Caenorhabditis elegans: one gene and its partner. The protein of the gene in region 1 interacts with the protein of each later gene in a pairwise test. Each region holds a gene or a part of one and is shown in the gene's direction. Other genes may lie near its edges.

Region 1 (8,606 bases):
ATGTCAGTCTGAATATCGAGTTATTAATATTGAATTTTCTGAACATTAAAACTATAACAAAAGGTATCGAAGAGCGCATGACTCATTGCTTGACTATTTAAAAAACAATGAAATAAATACAAATAAATACTAGCTTTCTTTTGACATTCGATAAATAAAGAAATATTGCACCCAATATTATCGACTATTCTAAATACAATTATTATTTAAATGTACAAGCGATTGGGGAGTTGGGACAAAGAGAAAGGTGAACAATTGAGTTGATAATTGAGATGGTTGCCTAGAAGGTATCACGGCCATGCGGAATGTTGAAGTATCTGAAACTTTGCGATGAAAAGATTTACTGGAAATGAGAAACTTACTGTGGATCGAGAGGAGTAACGTGATTTGCGTCGAAATCAATCAAATAGTGATTACATGCATCAAAAAGACGTTTTCTTTGTGTTGATTCTTCGCGCAAGCTGACTCCCGAATGCATGAGCCGTTCGGTTGGAGTCATGTCGAGCCAACGATCTACTTGTGGTTCCAAATTTTGAATCAACTCGGGATGTCTGTCTTTGATGATCGATTTGAGTAGCCAATTGATTCGATTTGTTGCTCGTCGAACATTCTCGGGTTGATCATCAACTGCAGTGGTCAGAATCTCTTCTTGGAGGCGTCGAATCAGACGGATTGGTCCCTTGTAACGAGCGAGCTGAAAATTAGGAAATTAAAGTAGTCTTTCGAGCAGTTTTAAAGGTTTCTTAACATACCAATTTATCGATTTGAAGATTCATATGGTTTCTGATCGCATGCTCCACAATGGTAGAGAAGAACTGAAATGGAAACATTAACCTCAATTTTTTTTTTCAATTTTGTACCGTCGGCATTCTGAACAGCGCAAGTGGCAGTAAGTCGTCGAATGTGGCATCCAATACAACTGCTTTTACATCTAAAAATTATATATTAGAAGATTTTTTATAGCATAAATTATACTCACTTGGATAGTTGGACGCGAGCCAAGCAACTGGGAACCCGCCAATCGACCACCCAAAAAGAACAATATTCTCCTGGCGATATCCAAGAACTTGAATAGCGTACTGCATTACTGCGTCTGCAGCTGCTAAAGTGTTTACTGCGTATGGAAGTCCCGTACTTTCTCCAAAGCCCGGAAGATTGAAGCCGAGAGTCTGAAAAGTCGAATAAATGAAATTGGCTACGAAAAAGATTGTTTTACCGTATATCCCAATTGAGCAGGAGAGTTCATTACTCCAATTTCATAAAATCCGGCATTTCCTTCAAAACATATTATAAGATCCTGTGATTGATTAGTGCCTCTCAAAAACATCGCATCGAGAGTGTCTCCTTCTGACGATTTGATCCACAAACGCTGCCCATTCTGAAAATAATGCAAATTAATTAGTTGCAAAATTATGTTTTACCGTTTTTTCTTCAAAAGCTAGAAATCTACTTTCAGGAAAGAAATTTTGTTTTTTTTTCAGAATTTGACACAAGGATTAAAACACTGTATTCATTTACAACCATAATCTACTATTATACTGTCCCGTTTACAGCCTGCCATAAATTCAGAACCACTGACACGGTGGCCGAGTGGTTTAAGGCATGAGACACTTGATCTCAAACGGTTCTAACCGAACGCAGGTTCGAATCCTGCCCGTGTCAGAATTTTTTATTGAACTTAAATTGTTTTTGTTTTTAAAGTCGTTCACCTTATTTTGAACCAGAAGCTTTCGTGCAGCATTCAAATTTGGTCTCATCATGTATTTCAAAAGTGCCATTGATCCGGGATAAATCAAATGTCTTCCAAATGCGTGAATCGCCCAACTCGCCAGACCGCGAGTAACAACGCCGGCTTCAGCGACTTCTGGTTTTAAATGCCATAAATCCGAATTGGGGCGAGCTACAAAATCGGGAATCACGTCTAGAAGTTCAAAGTCGTACTTCTTTAGTGCTGCATGACTGTTGTCATCCTTCTGAAACGTAATTAATACATAAACATAAAGATTTCAACTGATACCTTGTTTTTTTCGTTTTCCCAAATATCTAAAAATCTCGAGTTTGTTTCGTCAAAGAGCCGACCGAATGTTCTTGCTCCATAACCGATTAGTGTTAAATATCCGGCATATTTCAGAATTGTCAGCATTCCAGCTGGTGTGAGCCAGTCTCGACTGTACAAGTAACATAATATTACGGGGCCAAAAGCTAATGAACTGGCAATGTAGTAAATTCCTAAAAACAAGTTTGGAAAAGGTTATGCTTCATAAAATAATATAACCTGCAGAAAACGATATGACGGTGTTTCCGAGATTTTCCAGTGTTGGTTCCTGTCGATTGGGTTGTCCAAAAATTCCATAAAGCCGTGGTCCCGAAATTTGCGTCCAGAAGGACGGCATTTCGACTAGTTGCTACTGAAATATGTAAATAGGGAAAACACAATTAACAAAAGACAATATAAAATGTAATGGACATATATACCATTTTTCAGAATTTTGATACAAAAAAAAACATCAATTGAGAAAAACAATTATATTAAATCAAACATGTACAAATAAGTTATTCCGTAATAAAAACTTCAAGTAGAAACTTCAGTTTTTTCATCATCCGTTTCTTCCTTCTCAACTTTATCTTTGTCTTCGACTTCTGTGTTTTGTTTTCCTTCAGATTCGTTATCAGATCCTGATCCTGAGTCTGAATCCGAATCATCTGATGAGCTCTCGTCAGATTCATTATTCTTTTTTGTCAATTTTCTCTTCTTAGCAGCAGCTTTTTGCCTTAATCGCTTTGCTCTCTTCTTCGCGGTTTTTGATTCTTCTTCCTTTTCAAGTTTTTCTACTTTGTGACGGTAGGCATCGTCCAATTCTTCTTTTTTTGCTACCGCATCAATGTAGTCAAGTCGATTTTGTTCTTTTCGTCGGTTGTTTCTGAAATTTGGATATGAAAAGACAAATTAAAAGTATAACTTTTCTAACCTGTAAATATGAAATTCAGCACTTCCGGCAGCAGCTGAAGAACCAACGACATTTCTCACGAATTCCAAAGGTTCTTTTGGCGCTCTCAGTGTCTCCTTTTTAATTGGAATTGGAGCGGGCTTGTCCTGCAATTATAACAAATAAAATTATTATATTTTTAGCTAAATTAAACTTACAATATTTTGTTGCAATCTTGCCAGTCTCATCCGAATTAAATCGGTTGCGGAATTTGCTCGGCGCTCTTCTTCTGTGATTGGATCATCTCGTGGCATAATGAGATTTTCTAGAAATTATCAAAAAAGAAATTAGTGCAAAAAAACCGGGAAATTTTATGTTTTATCCGCGAAAAATCGAAAAGATTGGCACGCTAAACTACACGCGCTGCGTCATCTCGGAGCGTCGTACTGCAGTTTCAAAATCCAATTTTTTTGTTTTGGCTTTCTTAGAAGCTACTTCTAGATAGGAAGTTGCTTATTATCAGTTAAAATATAAAGTTTATCAAATAATTATATTTACTTTTCATTATTCTATAGTTTCAAAGTCAACTTCAATTCATCATCAGCTTACAGAATGGAAATCAATAACGGGGCTCAACCAGAAAATGCGGCTGTTTCGATTCCGTCACGGTAAGTTCTGACGACCTCTTTTTCTCCAAAATTTTTAATTTTCAGCTCACCGTCTGGGAAGTCCGAAAAACGAAAAAGTCCAAGCATTGTTTCCGGCTGCCGTACGGTTATGAATGAGAGAAGCTTTACCAATTATTGGTCCGTTGAGCGCTTCACGGTACAATTAGAGCTTCACAATCCAGCAGAATTCATGCTGGCACCGTAAGCAAATATAATATGTTTAAGATTAATCAGTTTTACATTTTTCAGTAAATTTGGAGATGGGGATTATGAGTTTGTCATGAAACTATTTCCGAATGGGAAAGACGAAGAAACCGCCGGATATCTTTCACTTTTTCTGCTCATAAATAGTACGTAGAGAACTTTAAGTGTTTCATTTTTCGTTATTAAATGTTATTTACGAAGATTCTTTCCAGAATGCCCTAATCCTCGTCTCCGTTTCCGTGTCAGCTTTACAGTCGAAACAGCAGACGGTCCAAGAAGTTGCCATCTCAATAAGAATCTTGTTACGATCAATCGTAGTGGTATCGTGACTGCAAGCAAGTTCTTTTCATTAGACATTCTCAGGGTAAGTCGGATTGTTTTTTTTTCAACTTCAATTTTTTATTTTAATGCAGAGTGCCATGAATGTCTACATTCCTAACGATATTCTGACAATTGGATGTGAGCTCACAATTTTCGGTGAATGTACGACACAGATCTCAAGCCTGTTCAAGCCATATCAAAGAACTCACAGCGCTTCTTCAACATCTCGATCCCTATCGTCTCCCAATACAAAATGTTTGAAGATCGACGAATCGTCTGCGCATGGTTAGTGATTTTAACAGCTTGGAAATTTTCATTGTTTAATCACTTTCAGATGCATTCACAGAGTTTCTATCCACCGGAGAATTTAGCGACTTCATTATAGTCGCTTCGTGTGGTCGTGAATTCCCAACTCATATGTGCATCCTGGCAGCACGTTCTGAATACTTCAAAGTTCTCCTGAGAAATCATTCAACCAAGGAGTTTATGTCCAAGCGTCTCCAGTTTGATGACATTTCTGCTCGCACTCTTGACGTCTTGCTTCGCCATATGTACGCGTCCGCTGCTGGTCGAGTTGTGAAGCTCGAAGAGGATCAACTAACCGAGGACCTTATATCTGCAATGGATAGGTTGGATATTTTTACATTAAAACATTCTAGTATTGTTTTTTATCAGACTAATGATAAATTCATTGCGTGATGAAGTGGCTCGGCTCATCGGTTCAAAAGTGACTGTCGATAATGTGCTCACTCGTATTAGTATGGCTGCAGAGCTAAGACTTGATGATACCTATGACGTGCTTCTGGATTTCTTCTCGAATCATAAACATGAGTGCATGAAGTTAACTGTAAGTTAATGAGAGAATGAAATTACGTCGAACAAGCAACCAATTTCAGGCATGGGACGAACTTGAATCTGCAAAACCACCATTGGCCATCAAAATACTTCGAGATGCTTTCTCAAATACTGATTCACCTTCGACCACATCAATGGACAGCCGAATCATTGACCGCATCACTCTAACTTAATTGAATCTTTGTAAATCTCATGTCAAATTGATTATGTGTTTGCTCTTCAATCATATCTATTCATCCTTCTGTTTGCTGGTATTTTACCTTTTTCATCAGTTGATCTCAAATTTTTGAAACAAAACGCTTGAATTCAAGAATTCAATTTCGGGTGTAATTTTTATTTGGTTTTATTGATTTGATTTGTTTTATAAACACAACAATTTGATTCTAAAATAAAATTTTTGAAGCCGCTTTCTTTTTGTATCCTCCTTGGACTTTCTCCACAAATATTGGTAGTAGCTTCAGATCTTCCAACGATAAATTAGTAAAGGATAACAACGAACTCGAATGCCTATGAATGTAGTCTTTATCATCATGATAATCATTTGGCATTGTTTTCATTTCATCAACTTGAAAGTGCCTTTTTATGGCAAATATCCTAAATAAGATAAATCAATTTTTATTTGAAATTCAAGTCAACCTGCTCTTTTTGGATCTGTCCACTGAAATAGTAATGGGTGGAATTGACATACACGTTGTCAGCCATTCCTCCACATTTTCAGCATTTTCAGAACAATTTTCTTCTTCAAGATCATAGAATGTGTTTAGCGCAGAACGAGAGAATATCAGCACTGGTTTGTGTTGAATCTGAAACTTTGTGTTATATTGAATTACTGATATTATGTGGACGCAAAAAATCTGTGGAGCGCGCTTCTACATACGTACATTTGAAAACGATCCGCCTCCCAGTCATGGGTCTCGTTAGGTATTTGGGCACAAAAACCATTTATTCAAAGTTTTTCAACTGGTTTCGCCAATTTTTCGCTTTCTTTGTTATTTTGTAATTCTCTTTATGACGAAATTTCTAAAGTACCATGAGAAAACCTAACTCACTTTTCAACTCCCATGCACATTTAAAATATCATTTCATAAGAAACGGAACATAGCATTCTATGATATGCCAAAAAAGGACGAAAAATGCTTGAAAGTAGACGAAAACAGCAAAACTAATTGAAAACATTTGAATTTGCGGGTTTTCCGGCAAATACCTAACGAGACCCACTGTTTGGGGGTGGAGCGTTTTCAAATCGCCATGGAGCGCGTTTCCACGTCTATTTGAAAAGAAAGGGGAATTTTGTTGCGTCCTCATAATAATACAGTAATTGAAATTTACATCAGCGTGAAAATCCCGGAGAATTGTGTATATCGGAAGATGCGAATCGAATTTCGACAGTTCTTTTATGAGACGTTCAACGAAAAAATAATTATTATCAAATGCAAACATGTACCATTGAGCTTGTTGGGGAAGGCGTCGTGTATGAAGAATCATTTTTCTGAAAAAAAAAACATTATTATACATCTTACAGAGTTTCGAACTTGCTCAGTGGAGCGCAGTTGCGCGCACCATTGGAAAATTTATTAGAATTTTTAGTTAAAAAATTAGAAAAACCTTCAGGCTAATTCATTTAAGTCAAAAACTCACGAAAAATGATGAATTAGCCATTGCTCGGTTGGTTTTTGCCAATTGACATAATGATGTGGGACTACAAAATAATCATCAACCTTGTCACACCAGCTCTTTTTACATAAATTTGTCTGAAATTTACGTATCAAAAACATTAACTCATTGTTTAAAGTATTAACTCACCATCTCAGGACCCGTAGATTGTAAAGTTAGAAATAAAGATGTATTGTGATAAAACTTGAATTTTCTGTAAATTAAAACAATTATTTATAGTTAACTACTATAGTTTTGATTTTAATGAAAAATATGAAATTACTTTGCTTCGTATTCCGCGCTCCATGCGAGTTTATCGTTTCTCATAAGTTTCCCAACTCGGAATAGTAACAAGCCCAATAAAAATATAGATTTTGGTTCCATCATTCAGATATCTTCTCTAATAAGTGCATAATTTAACTGGAAAACAGCAAAAAACCGTCAAATCAAAACCGATGATCAAGTAAAGAATCAAAATGTGGCAGCTTGAATCTGACAAAAAAGGCGAAAAACAAGAATTGGGCAATTGATTGAATTGTACGTGTGTAACGGTAGAAGAATGCGGGGCAGCGGAAAAGTCGCCTATTTCGATGGAACATGTCAGATAAGAGCTGTTTGGTCGGTGCGCACGAAAAAAGATTTTGGGATTGCGCTAATGCCGAGGATGCAGTGCGTGAGAAACGATTCCGCCAGACGTTGAGGAAAAAATGAGGAAAAACCTGAATTTGAGTCGAGATACACTTTTTGAAAATAGCGGATCACAATTTGTAGGATAGAGAATTCTTGCTTTCGTGAGTGAAAGCAGCAAACCGAAATGAAATAAAGATTACGAAAACGTTTTCTATTTTCCCAAACCATCTGAAATAAAAATTCCACCAGGTCGAGGCGTGATGAGGCGCCTTTAACCTGCCTCTTCGCGCCTTTCATTCAGGAATCAGAAGATATTTGTCATGAAATCCATTAAAAACAAAACCCGGATGCTGCCTGAAGATGTGATTACTGTGTAGGACATGAGTACAGTCTCATTTTAATTATGAAGAACAATATTCCGATTTCTCGAATCTAGTTAATATATTCAACTTGAGTATTTCAAATTTAAAATGCCAACCATATTTCAAATATCTGAAAACCATTCTACATAATATTCCTTCAACTAAATATTCATTCTACATTCAATCAATTATCAATCTTCTTCGTCGACAAGCACTGGAATAATCTTCGGATTTGTATCTTTATTGATTTCCCGTTTGAACAGCAGATCCATAAACTGTTGCTCGGTGAAAAGGGTGAACATTTTGTCTGGGTCAGATCTGTAGAGATCCAAGTCGCCCTGAAACAGGAAACGAATTGAAAACATTTTAAATCTGGAAAACCAACAGTTCCATCGTGAAGAAGAAAGATCGGTCCAAGATTTTTGTGAAGGTAGGGATGGGATCCTTTGTTAAAGGCATCTTTGTCAGGGAACTTATCCAGCATAGTTCCTCCTTGGCCTTGGATGATTGCAGTCAGACTTGCCACTGAATGTATTTAAATTAAATATTGATAACCTAAATTCTACTCACAATATGGGCAATTTTTCATACAGAGAGCCACATGAACACCGTACAAGAATGGAGTAGTTGCTTTTGCCATTGCATTGGACCATTGGGTTACTGTATCGTAGATGATTCCCTTGTATTTCACTTTTTCGACAAGATAGTCACAGTCTTTTTCAATCAACTTTTCGTCTCTGAGGCAATCAACCATCCACGTATCCCTAACAATTATTGATCCGTGGAAGATCCAAATTAAAAGGTTCAAATCATCCGTTTCGAGGATTCCGTCTTCAGTAGTTTTCACGACAACATGAGTGGTGGTGATCATTGCTTCGTCGGAGGTCTGAAAGTTTTTATATTTTTGAAGTTTGCAAGAAAAATCTCACAATCGATTGAAACTTTGTCGTAAACTCATTGGTCACATTATCATCAGTCCTATCTTC
Region 2 (9,210 bases), on another chromosome or scaffold:
AAAGGGCACAGGAGGAGATTATGCTGATTGACTGATAAACAAAAAAAAACGTTCATTTCACTATTTTTTGCCATATAGAAAATGATAACTTTTTGATAACAATGAATAATCTTGAACAGAGGTGGGCTAAGCTGATTAAAATTTGGGTAAAGTCCACATTTCAAGAATAAAAAAAAGTTCAAATCGAGTTACAGCTACACTATCAATCAGATTTCTACGTTCTCATAAAGTTCTGGAGACAACGTTTCCTTGACTGTTTCCAAGGAAGATCCTAAATCAGAATAAGCGAAGAAGCGGTTCAAATGTTTCATCGAAGCGTGATGAATTTGATGTCGGGATCCCGCCAGGCAAAACACAGAGAGAAAGAGAGATCGGTCGCGCTGCAGGACGCAATAATCCTATTACACAATCGACCATACATGTTCCAATTTCCCAGATACCTACTTTCCATTGTCCATGACCAAGAGTGAAGCTGATACCTTAAATCGAGCATGTTTTGAAAAAATGCCTACACTAACTTTCCTACTTCAAACATATAAGGTTAATATTTCCATTACTGAGCAGCAAAATTTGTGAAACCATTCAGGACACGAAACAGTCATTTAGATTTGCACCTTTGCAGAAAAAATTAGTTGCGTTAAACTCTTAGGCTGTCAGGCCAGACTATAGGTCAGAATCTGAGTCTTAGGAACCTTTCAGTTTAAAATTTGAGTTAAAAATGGAAACCTAATTTTTCAGCAGTATCATAGTTTTTTTTTTCAATTGTTTTGGTATTCTTGGAAATAAATAGACTATAAAGTTTAACTTGTAGATAGGTTTCGAGAATGGCGCGCAATAAAAAACGAATTGAAAAAAGTTGGCAAAAAGTGTCGATAGCAATGAAAAATCTATCCATCATCTTAACATTATCATAAGGAAACACGAAAAAAGTGACAGGGAGAAGGGTGGGTCTTTCCCTCTCATTTTCTCTCATTTATCCAAAAGAAACTTGTTGGAAACAAAACAAACGGAGAGAACAGAAGGACAAACGTTCCTCCTTACATAGACTGATAATAAACTGTTTTCTTATCATAATCTCCATTGGCAGCAGAATGAGACAAAAAACTTGTATTTTTTCATGAAGGCAAACTATTTATACAATTCCAATGAGATCACCATTTTTGCTATGCACTTTTTTATGAAGAGGGGGAAATGACGACGAGTACATTACGGTGTTGATTGGAAAAAAGGGATATGGTGTTGATTTTATGGATGTTCGATACAATTGGCATAAATGTGAAAACGTGAAAACAGTAATACGGTTTTTACTAGATCTACAAAAATGTTTAGATACTCCATTTGAATAAGCTCAAAGTTTCGCGGAACATGAGTAGCGTTCAATTGTTCCACAATTTCATTGCAGAATTTTTGAGTTTTCTAAATGATTCGTATAATTTACTCGGCAAAACGGGCCAGTATTCTATGCGCTTTGGTGACTTCTTGTCACACTTCAAGCCACATTTTGCTCACAACAGCTTAGGTTTCAGAAACTTCACAACAACTTTTGACAAAGTTTTAAAACTGTATTTTTTTGAGGTGCGGGAGTTTAGTAAGAATTTGTGGCGTTTAGACAAGTAATGTCTATAAAAACGAGTACATTTCACTTTTTGCCATGTTACTTGTTTTCTTGGACCTGGAGTATAGGGCTTCTAACTAAGTACACTTATAATAGTCATAACCAAATATCATAATAAAACACTTCAAATAGTTTTTAGATTATTAAAAATGTTCAGTCCAAGTTTTAGTAAATTGCCAATTTTTTAAATGTTGCATTTTTAAATAATTCCTAACATTACCGTAGGCTCAAAACCTTAGAATGTTTAAATACGAAAAATTGAATCGATGCTATAATATAAGACTAGTAAAAATTGTTTGATCGACTTTCAAAATTTGAGAGATGAAAACTGAGTTTTCCTAACTTTTCGACTGTAAAAATTGTACTAATATCCACATGTAAGAGATATTATTTTTATCACTACTAGACAATTCCGCACAAAAATCGAAAAATCGGCAAAAAAACTTGTCTCTGCAATAATGAAAGTGATAGACTGCCATAAAGATATAAAATTTGAATCTTAAAAAGGGATTCGCAGTGCGAACACCTATACAACAAAACTTTATCAGTGAACAAAAAGTGATGGGTGTGTTGCGAGGATTGTCTCGCTTGTCCTGTTAACATATCTCTAAATCTCTGCATATCACATTAGCACTCATTGTCTGCTCCGTATGATTTCAAGTGCTCACACGGTACAGAGCCGGAGTCAGAGTTTTTGAAAAAGATGGCGGAATGCATGAGAACATGTGTTTACTTCTTTTGGAAAATTTATAAAATTATTGTTGAATGTTATTGTATGTAATTTTTATAAAAATAGTTCTTATTATGTAACATCATCAAATCAGTAAGATGAAGACCTCATCAAGTCGAATATCAGAAAGAATGTGCAAGGTTGACTAAAAACTTCTAGATATTTTCCTTTTTTCCATTAAAAATATGCCTCCAAAGAATAACATACAACAATAATTTTATAAATTTTCGCTGTTAGATTGTCCCATAACGGTTTGATCTACAAACAATGGGACATCAGCACGTTCTTAATCATGCGAAATCAGTTGAGGAGATAGTGTCTAAATTCACGCACGCAATTCTAGTAGGTCTAAGTAGAACAAATCGAAATGGGACACTCTGACACCACGTGAGTACCTTAAAATGTATTTAACCGAATTTTGCCGTTAATTTTTGTTTGCTTTCGAATATATATATTTTTTTTAAAAGTATCTTTATCTTTGTTTGACTTATGTGTTTTTTATTGAGATCAAGTTCTACACTTAAGCCAAATATACATTGTCTCATTCCTTATCTACATTTTGACCTCACCATGGTTTTTTCTTTGTTTAAACATGTTTGTTCACTTTTTTCCGTTCATAGAAAAGCCCCTCACAACTCTCTCTATATATATGGTTTTTCGTAAAGAGACACCACCAATTGGGTAGAACGGAAAAGTGAGCTTTTCTATCGTTTAGATACATATTGGAGTAATCCTTTGCTTTTTCTAGCACTTTCCGCTTTGAAAACATTCATTATATTTTAAAATATAAATGCGACCTCGATAATGTCTTAAGAATCGCTAGAGTGGAAATATGTGCATGGTCGAGTTTTAACTTTACAGTTGAGAGCAATTTTTCATTGGATACGACGATAAATTCTGGGTTTTGGGAAAAAATATTAAAAGTTCCATTTTGAAATCAATATTATAAATCTATTTTTTGATGTCTATTTCCCCATATCTCGATATCGCCCACTTCGTATTTCTCAACGAGAAGAGGTGTCTCCTTTCAATTTCCATTTAAAGGGGCGACCAATTCTACCGACTGCAGGTCTCGCAGCGATATCTGCGCCCTCCACCTGATGCGTACTCTTTTTACTCGTTCCGTATCGATCGCCGCTGTGGAGAACACTGAACGAACGCTGTCTCGTGATTAAATAACCAGCCACACGTCTTTCCTTTTACATTTATTTCTTTATTTCTTTATTTCTTCTCGTTTTGTCGCTTTTTACTCATTAAATATTATTTTTTTTTTTACAGAAACTTCGTCGAAATGGGTTCATCTGGAATGGGAGTTGATGCGAATGGAAAGCCAATCAAGAGACAGCCTACAACTAATAATAACAACAAGAAAGCTGGAAACAACAGCAACAACCAGAAAAAAGGAAATAATGTAAGCACTTTCTCATTTAACTTCACTAATATCAAGTTTTCACGATTATATTTCGATTCACTCGTTCTAAAAAATTAAATTGTTTTTTTTCAGCAAAACAACAAAAATAATAAGAACCAGAATGGAGGAAATCGCAACCAAAATCGCCAACATCACCAGCCTCCAATGATGCAAATGGTTCCACCCTTCGGCCCAATGGGACCAGGAGGACCAGGAGGACCAGGATTCATGGGCCCACCGAATGGAAACATGAACTTCTTCAACGGACAAAATCGTCGTAATGGCAGTGGAAAGGTATTTTTGAGGAAAATCCTTGTTTCTCCTGTTCTTCGCAATGTCTTGGACGCTTTATATCAGTTTCTTCAAATCTTGAGCCAGCCCACCGGATTCTCTAAGTTAGACCTAAATATATAGCGATCAAAATGATCAGATAAGTTACCAGAAGATGATTAAAAATAAAATTTGATTATATTACTATTGGGCGATATTTCTGCTGAATTCAGAAATTTAATAATTTTTCACAACATTTTGACGAATTCGTCCATTTCTGGTCGCAGTAAAGAGTCTTGCTTTGACATAGGACTTCAAGATTCTTTCCGACGTACAGGTTTTCTTGATTAGGGCTTTAAAGAAATGTTTTAGAGAATGGAGAAGAATCGTAAATGACGGTGGTGACTGGCTCAATGAATTCTTAATTCGTGTTGCTCAATAAGAGTAAAAATGCTCTCGGATCTTTTGATCCTTTTTATACCACATTCTTCAGGCATATCGGTTTCTTGGCTCTAATCATCAAATGAAAAAAAAACAGTTCTCCATTTTTGTTAATTTCAGATGTATTAATTCAAAAAATTTACTTTTCAATTTCCAAAAAGAGCAAGTGCTCGATGTTTTCTTTCAAATTTTTTTGTTATATTGTTAAATTGAAAAGAAAAACAAAATTTGCATTCACCGTAAAGTGAAACTTTTTTTTTGCGATTTAAAATATTACTAGTTAGATTCACCATATATTTCGGAAGAGTCTCTAGTTCCAAAATCCATGAGTAGTAAATGACGGTCTCTGTCTCCGTTGTATGATACAACTCCTCACTCGATGTATGTAATGAACAAGAAGTTTGCAGAACAACGGCAATAGAAATGGAGCCCCACCTTCAGGTCTAGTTATGTTTTCATAATGAAACGAGTGTCATTTATTTTCTTTTGATTGTTTTCTATCAGAGATTCAAATAATCTCCGTAAAAAATTACTGTTGTTAAAAGGGGACACTCTGACATCTCAAAAGATATTTCGAACTTCAAAAAAAGGCTCTAGACCGCGTGGCTAAAAATATTTTTAGGAAAATAAAAAATGAAGTATAAAAATTGAGGAGATACTAAATTTTGTTCCTAACACAATTCCCAAAAGAAACTTCGATATTTCCATCGAATTCTTTTTAAATAAATAGTCCATCGAGACTTAAAGTTTATTTTTAAAAAATTTGAAAATCAAAGATGATTGTCGCAGTAGTGTCCCCAAACAACATTTACTTTCGAGTCTAAAATTCAAATCCTTGTAGTTTTTTAGTTTTATTAGTAGATCTGCTCTCTTACCAATGAGAGCCAATATGTATTTTCTCTTTTCAACAATATTATTTTCAGGATACAATGGACCATCGGCTAACAATGTGGGACAAGGAGCTATTGGAAATAACATGAACGTAAGAAAACAACTTTTTGATGTTAAAATAATCGTATTTGAATTTAAGGGCGCTCAACCATTTGCTGGACCAGAACCATCAATGGAAGTTCCTGGATTCGGAAAGAACAGCAACATTCATGAACTTTTCGGAAAGATGATCTGGAGAAAAATGGAACAGATCAATGACGCCGCTCTTGTCGATCAACTCCAGAATCGGATAATGAACCTGATCCATGATGCCCTGGCTAGTCAGAACGATAAGCAACAACAACAACAACAGCAGCAACATCAACGTATGTTTTATTTCGGAAAGCAGACGAATTTAAAAAATTTATATTTTCAGAAGGATTCAATCAACAAAGAGGAATGCCGTTCGGAGGACCAGGAAACCAAAATGGACCATTCGGAAACAACGCTGGATTCCAACGTTTTTAAAAGAATAAAATTCTGATCTCTTCTGTTCATCCCTTTAAATGTTATTTTGCTTCTGAAATTTCGAAAAAATGTAATTCTAATCTCCGAACTTTTGTCAGTCTGATTCTCTCTTACACATGTGTTTTATAATAAATCCGATCCGTCCCAATAAGATTCATTTGTTTACAAAAAATGTGGTTTACAGCGAACGAGTCGATGGGCCGAAGGACAGTTGACAAAATGATTGAAATGTCGGGTGGAAAAGTGACACCTCTTCTTTCTAATTCAGACAAGAAAAGAGATATTCTGAGTTTTGTTTGTCTTTCTCGTTTCTCCAATGTTCTCAAGAAAAGTTTATATTTGTTAATTTTCTTTTGTTTATCATTCGAATCAATTGGGTTTTCTTCGTTATCATTGTTTTCAGATGCACTCTTTTCTTCATTAAATGTTAAAATTTTGTATAGATTTCAGATGGAATTATGGAAAAGCTGTATATTTCTGTTTTTAAATTTTTGCATTCAATCTGAAGGTATCGTCAGAACAAGTTACGGCAATTGGAATATTCCAAAAATTGGTGATAGGTAAATATTCAAAAGATCCGGGTTCCGTAAGGACAGACTATCTTTTTTTTAAATCATAAATTTTCAGTCAAAGTTTTGGCAGAATGTCAAATTTTGCAAAAATGCAGATTTTTTGATAAATTCCAATCATTGACACAGGTTCGAAACCATACGATGTTCAAATTTAAAAGTTGGAATACAATTATAATAAATATTCATTAGAATTGTTTCTGCCTACATCCAAATTATACGGGAACACAAAATTCTGAGAATGCGTATTGCACAACATATTTTACGCGCAAATTTTTTCGTAGCGAAAACTACAGTAACTCTTTAGATCATCATCATTTAAAGACTTACTGTAGTTTTCGCCACGAGATATTTTGTAAAAAAAATTTATAAATCCAAATGTTTTTTTAAAAGTCATATTTGGCATTTTAACAATTCAGAAACGGATTCAAAAAGTTTTCTACATGAAATACTCCACCTGCAATTTCGGTAGCTCTAGACATGATTTAGAGTGCGAAATTATTAATTTAAAAAATCTTGCAGACAATTTTAAACTTAAAAGCGTGGCAAGACCCACAACATGTGTCTTCAAAGTTATATAAGACATTTTCACACAGCTAACATTTCTTCTAACATTATCTGTAATATTCCAAATTTTAAGAAATATACCTTCATTTCTTATTGACGAATCAAAGAACCAATTTCTACTCGATGGTCTTCCATTTCGTTACATCTCTGGATCCATTCATTATTTCCGAATTCCTCGTGATCGGTGGGACGAACGTCTCGGGAAAGTTCGAGCTCTTGGATTTAATGCAATTCAGTATTATATTCCATGGAATATGCACGAGCTTGAAGAAGGAAAGTAAGAACATTTTCAAAAGATTTAAACAATCAACGTATACTATTTATAATTGCAGTCATGACTTTTCTGGACTTCTCGATTTCGCAGAGTTTTCCATGATGGCTTTTCATAAATATGGATTATGGACAATTTTGAGAGTCGGTATGTTGAAAGTCCTTCACAGTTTCAAATAAAAACAAATAAATTTAGGACCGTATATTTGTGGAGAATTGGAAAATGGAGGGCTTCCATGGTGGCTTCTCAACAAAAATGTGACAAAGCAAAGAAGTAGTGATCGAGTGTTAGTTAAAATTAAACAAAAATGTTCAATCACATAATTTAAGGTTTACCCGCGAAGTCGAGAATTGGTTTGAAATTCTTCTTCCAAGAGTCAAGCCACTTTTACGTAAAAACGGTGGACCTGTCCTGATGCTTCAAATTGAAAATGAGTACGGTAGTTACGATGCATGCGATCAACAATATCTTCGATTCTTGCGAGATCTTACAAGATCACTCGTTGGGGATGATGTTCTATTATTCACAAGTGAGTAAATGAACACTTTATCTAATTATTCAATTTATTCAGCTGATGGTTCTGCCGAGTCTCTGCTAAAATGTGGAACAGTGGAAGGAGTATTTCCAACTGTAGACTTTGGTCCAACTGATGATGCTAAAGAAATCGAAAACAATTTTAAATTACAAAGAAAATTTGCACCGAATGGCCCTCTAGTAAATTCGGAATATTATCCTGGATGGTTGGTACTTTGGGGACAAAAGAAGCAAAATTTACCGTCTCCACAAACAATAATCAATGGATCACAAACTATGTATTCTCTTGGTGCCAGTTTCAATTATTATATGATTCACGGAGGCACCAATTTTGGATTTTGGAATGGTGCAGAAACTGAGGCTCCTTGCATTACTTCTTACGATTATGATGCTCCGATTAGTGAATCTGGAGATGTAACAACCAAATATTTGGAAATAAGAAAATGGATCAAAGGATTGACTGATTGGCCAACTCCACCATTGGATGTTCCAGGAAATTCACCGTAAGTTTTATAGAAAACGGTTTAAAAATATTTCCAAGTTACAGAAAAGGAAGATTTGGAAAAATCAAGATGAGACTAGTGCATTCCGTTGAAAAATTGAAAACACTAACTTCATTGGGAGATCCCGGAGATTGTGTTGAAACTGATAAACCAATCAGTTTTGAGACATTGAAGCATCCATTAGGATTGGTAGCTTATCAGGCAGTGAGTTTGTTAGAAATTTATTTTTGGGTTTAAATTTTTATTGGCTAAATTTTTTATCGACAAAAAGTGATCAAAGTATAAGCGGTTTTTTTCAAAATGCTTAAAATGCTATAAAGTAGTATCTTTAAATCATAGTTTACAGAAAATTAACTCATGTGGAAACTTGACAATTCCCTCATTTGGAGATTTTGTTCATGTTTATCTCAATGGAAAGTACATTGACACTCTCACGCGAAGATATTACAACCTGACCAGAAACTCAGTGATCATTGAAGGTTGCCTGGAGAATGAAGAGAATCGGCTTTTTATGTTGGTCGAAAATCAAGGAAGAAAAACATTCGAAACAATTAATGATAGAAAGGTAGAGCTGATCATTTTTTTTTGTTTTGCGGATTATATGTCTGAATTTTAGGGAATTCTTTCGGATGTTTTTATGAATGGACAGGCGATTCAATTTTGGACTCAATGTGGAATCAAGCTTCCTCTTCAAGAAGACTTCTACTTCAGAAAAGCAATGAGAAACAATTACCGGAAGAATGTTAAAAGTAATCAAAAACAGGGAGTTTTCATTGGAATTCTTAGTGTGGATGCCCCAACTGATACATGGCTTGACACTACTGGATGGGGAAAAGGAATTGCAATTGTGAATGGAAGAAATTTTGGAAGATATTGGCCAACTAAAGGTCCACAAATGACT

What was found.
Region 2: the proteins of bath-41 (region 1) and pqn-70 interact in a two-hybrid assay, tested with the Caenorhabditis elegans proteins (one study listed by BioGRID).

What each region holds. Positions count from the first base shown.
Region 1 is NC_003281.10:6,717,191-6,725,796, reverse strand, and holds bath-41 (BTB and MATH domain-containing protein 41), read left to right. Parts: upstream 1-3,538; 5' UTR 3,539-3,539; coding exon 3,540-3,595; intron 3,596-3,640; coding exon 3,641-3,796; intron 3,797-3,844; coding exon 3,845-3,945; intron 3,946-4,011; coding exon 4,012-4,163; intron 4,164-4,212; coding exon 4,213-4,405; intron 4,406-4,454; coding exon 4,455-4,749; intron 4,750-4,795; coding exon 4,796-4,967; intron 4,968-5,016; coding exon 5,017-5,148; 3' UTR 5,149-5,358; downstream 5,359-8,606. Other genes in the region: wdr-4 (tRNA (guanine-N(7)-)-methyltransferase non-catalytic subunit), read right to left, coding at 1-2; F37A4.1 (alpha/beta hydrolase), read right to left, coding at 281-317, 363-694, 753-815, 861-931, 980-1,169, 1,217-1,378, 1,710-1,973, 2,018-2,229 and 1 more; F37A4.2 (PRKRIP1 family protein), read right to left, coding at 2,573-2,921, 2,970-3,094, 3,146-3,241; bus-22 (uncharacterized protein), read right to left, coding at 5,359-5,569, 5,612-5,778, 6,305-6,464, 6,614-6,726, 6,779-6,842, 6,912-7,015; Ankyrin repeat-containing protein F37A4.4, read right to left, coding at 7,812-7,958, 8,006-8,145, 8,191-8,506, 8,550-8,606. UniProt on the Caenorhabditis elegans protein: Probable substrate-specific adapter of an E3 ubiquitin-protein ligase complex which mediates the ubiquitination and subsequent proteasomal degradation of target proteins.
Region 2 is NC_003283.11:11,223,117-11,232,326, reverse strand, and holds pqn-70 (Prion-like-(Q/N-rich)-domain-bearing protein), read left to right. Parts: upstream 1-3,623; 5' UTR 3,624-3,636; coding exon 3,637-3,756; intron 3,757-3,849; coding exon 3,850-4,050; exon of another isoform or gene 4,051-4,874; coding exon 4,875-4,908; exon of another isoform or gene 4,909-5,390; coding exon 5,391-5,449; intron 5,450-5,497; coding exon 5,498-5,723; intron 5,724-5,773; coding exon 5,774-5,865; 3' UTR 5,866-6,011; downstream 6,012-9,210. Other genes in the region: bgal-1 (Beta-galactosidase), read left to right, coding at 6,316-6,425, 7,075-7,278, 7,334-7,419, 7,468-7,558, 7,602-7,801, 7,844-8,309, 8,354-8,513, 8,656-8,874 and 1 more.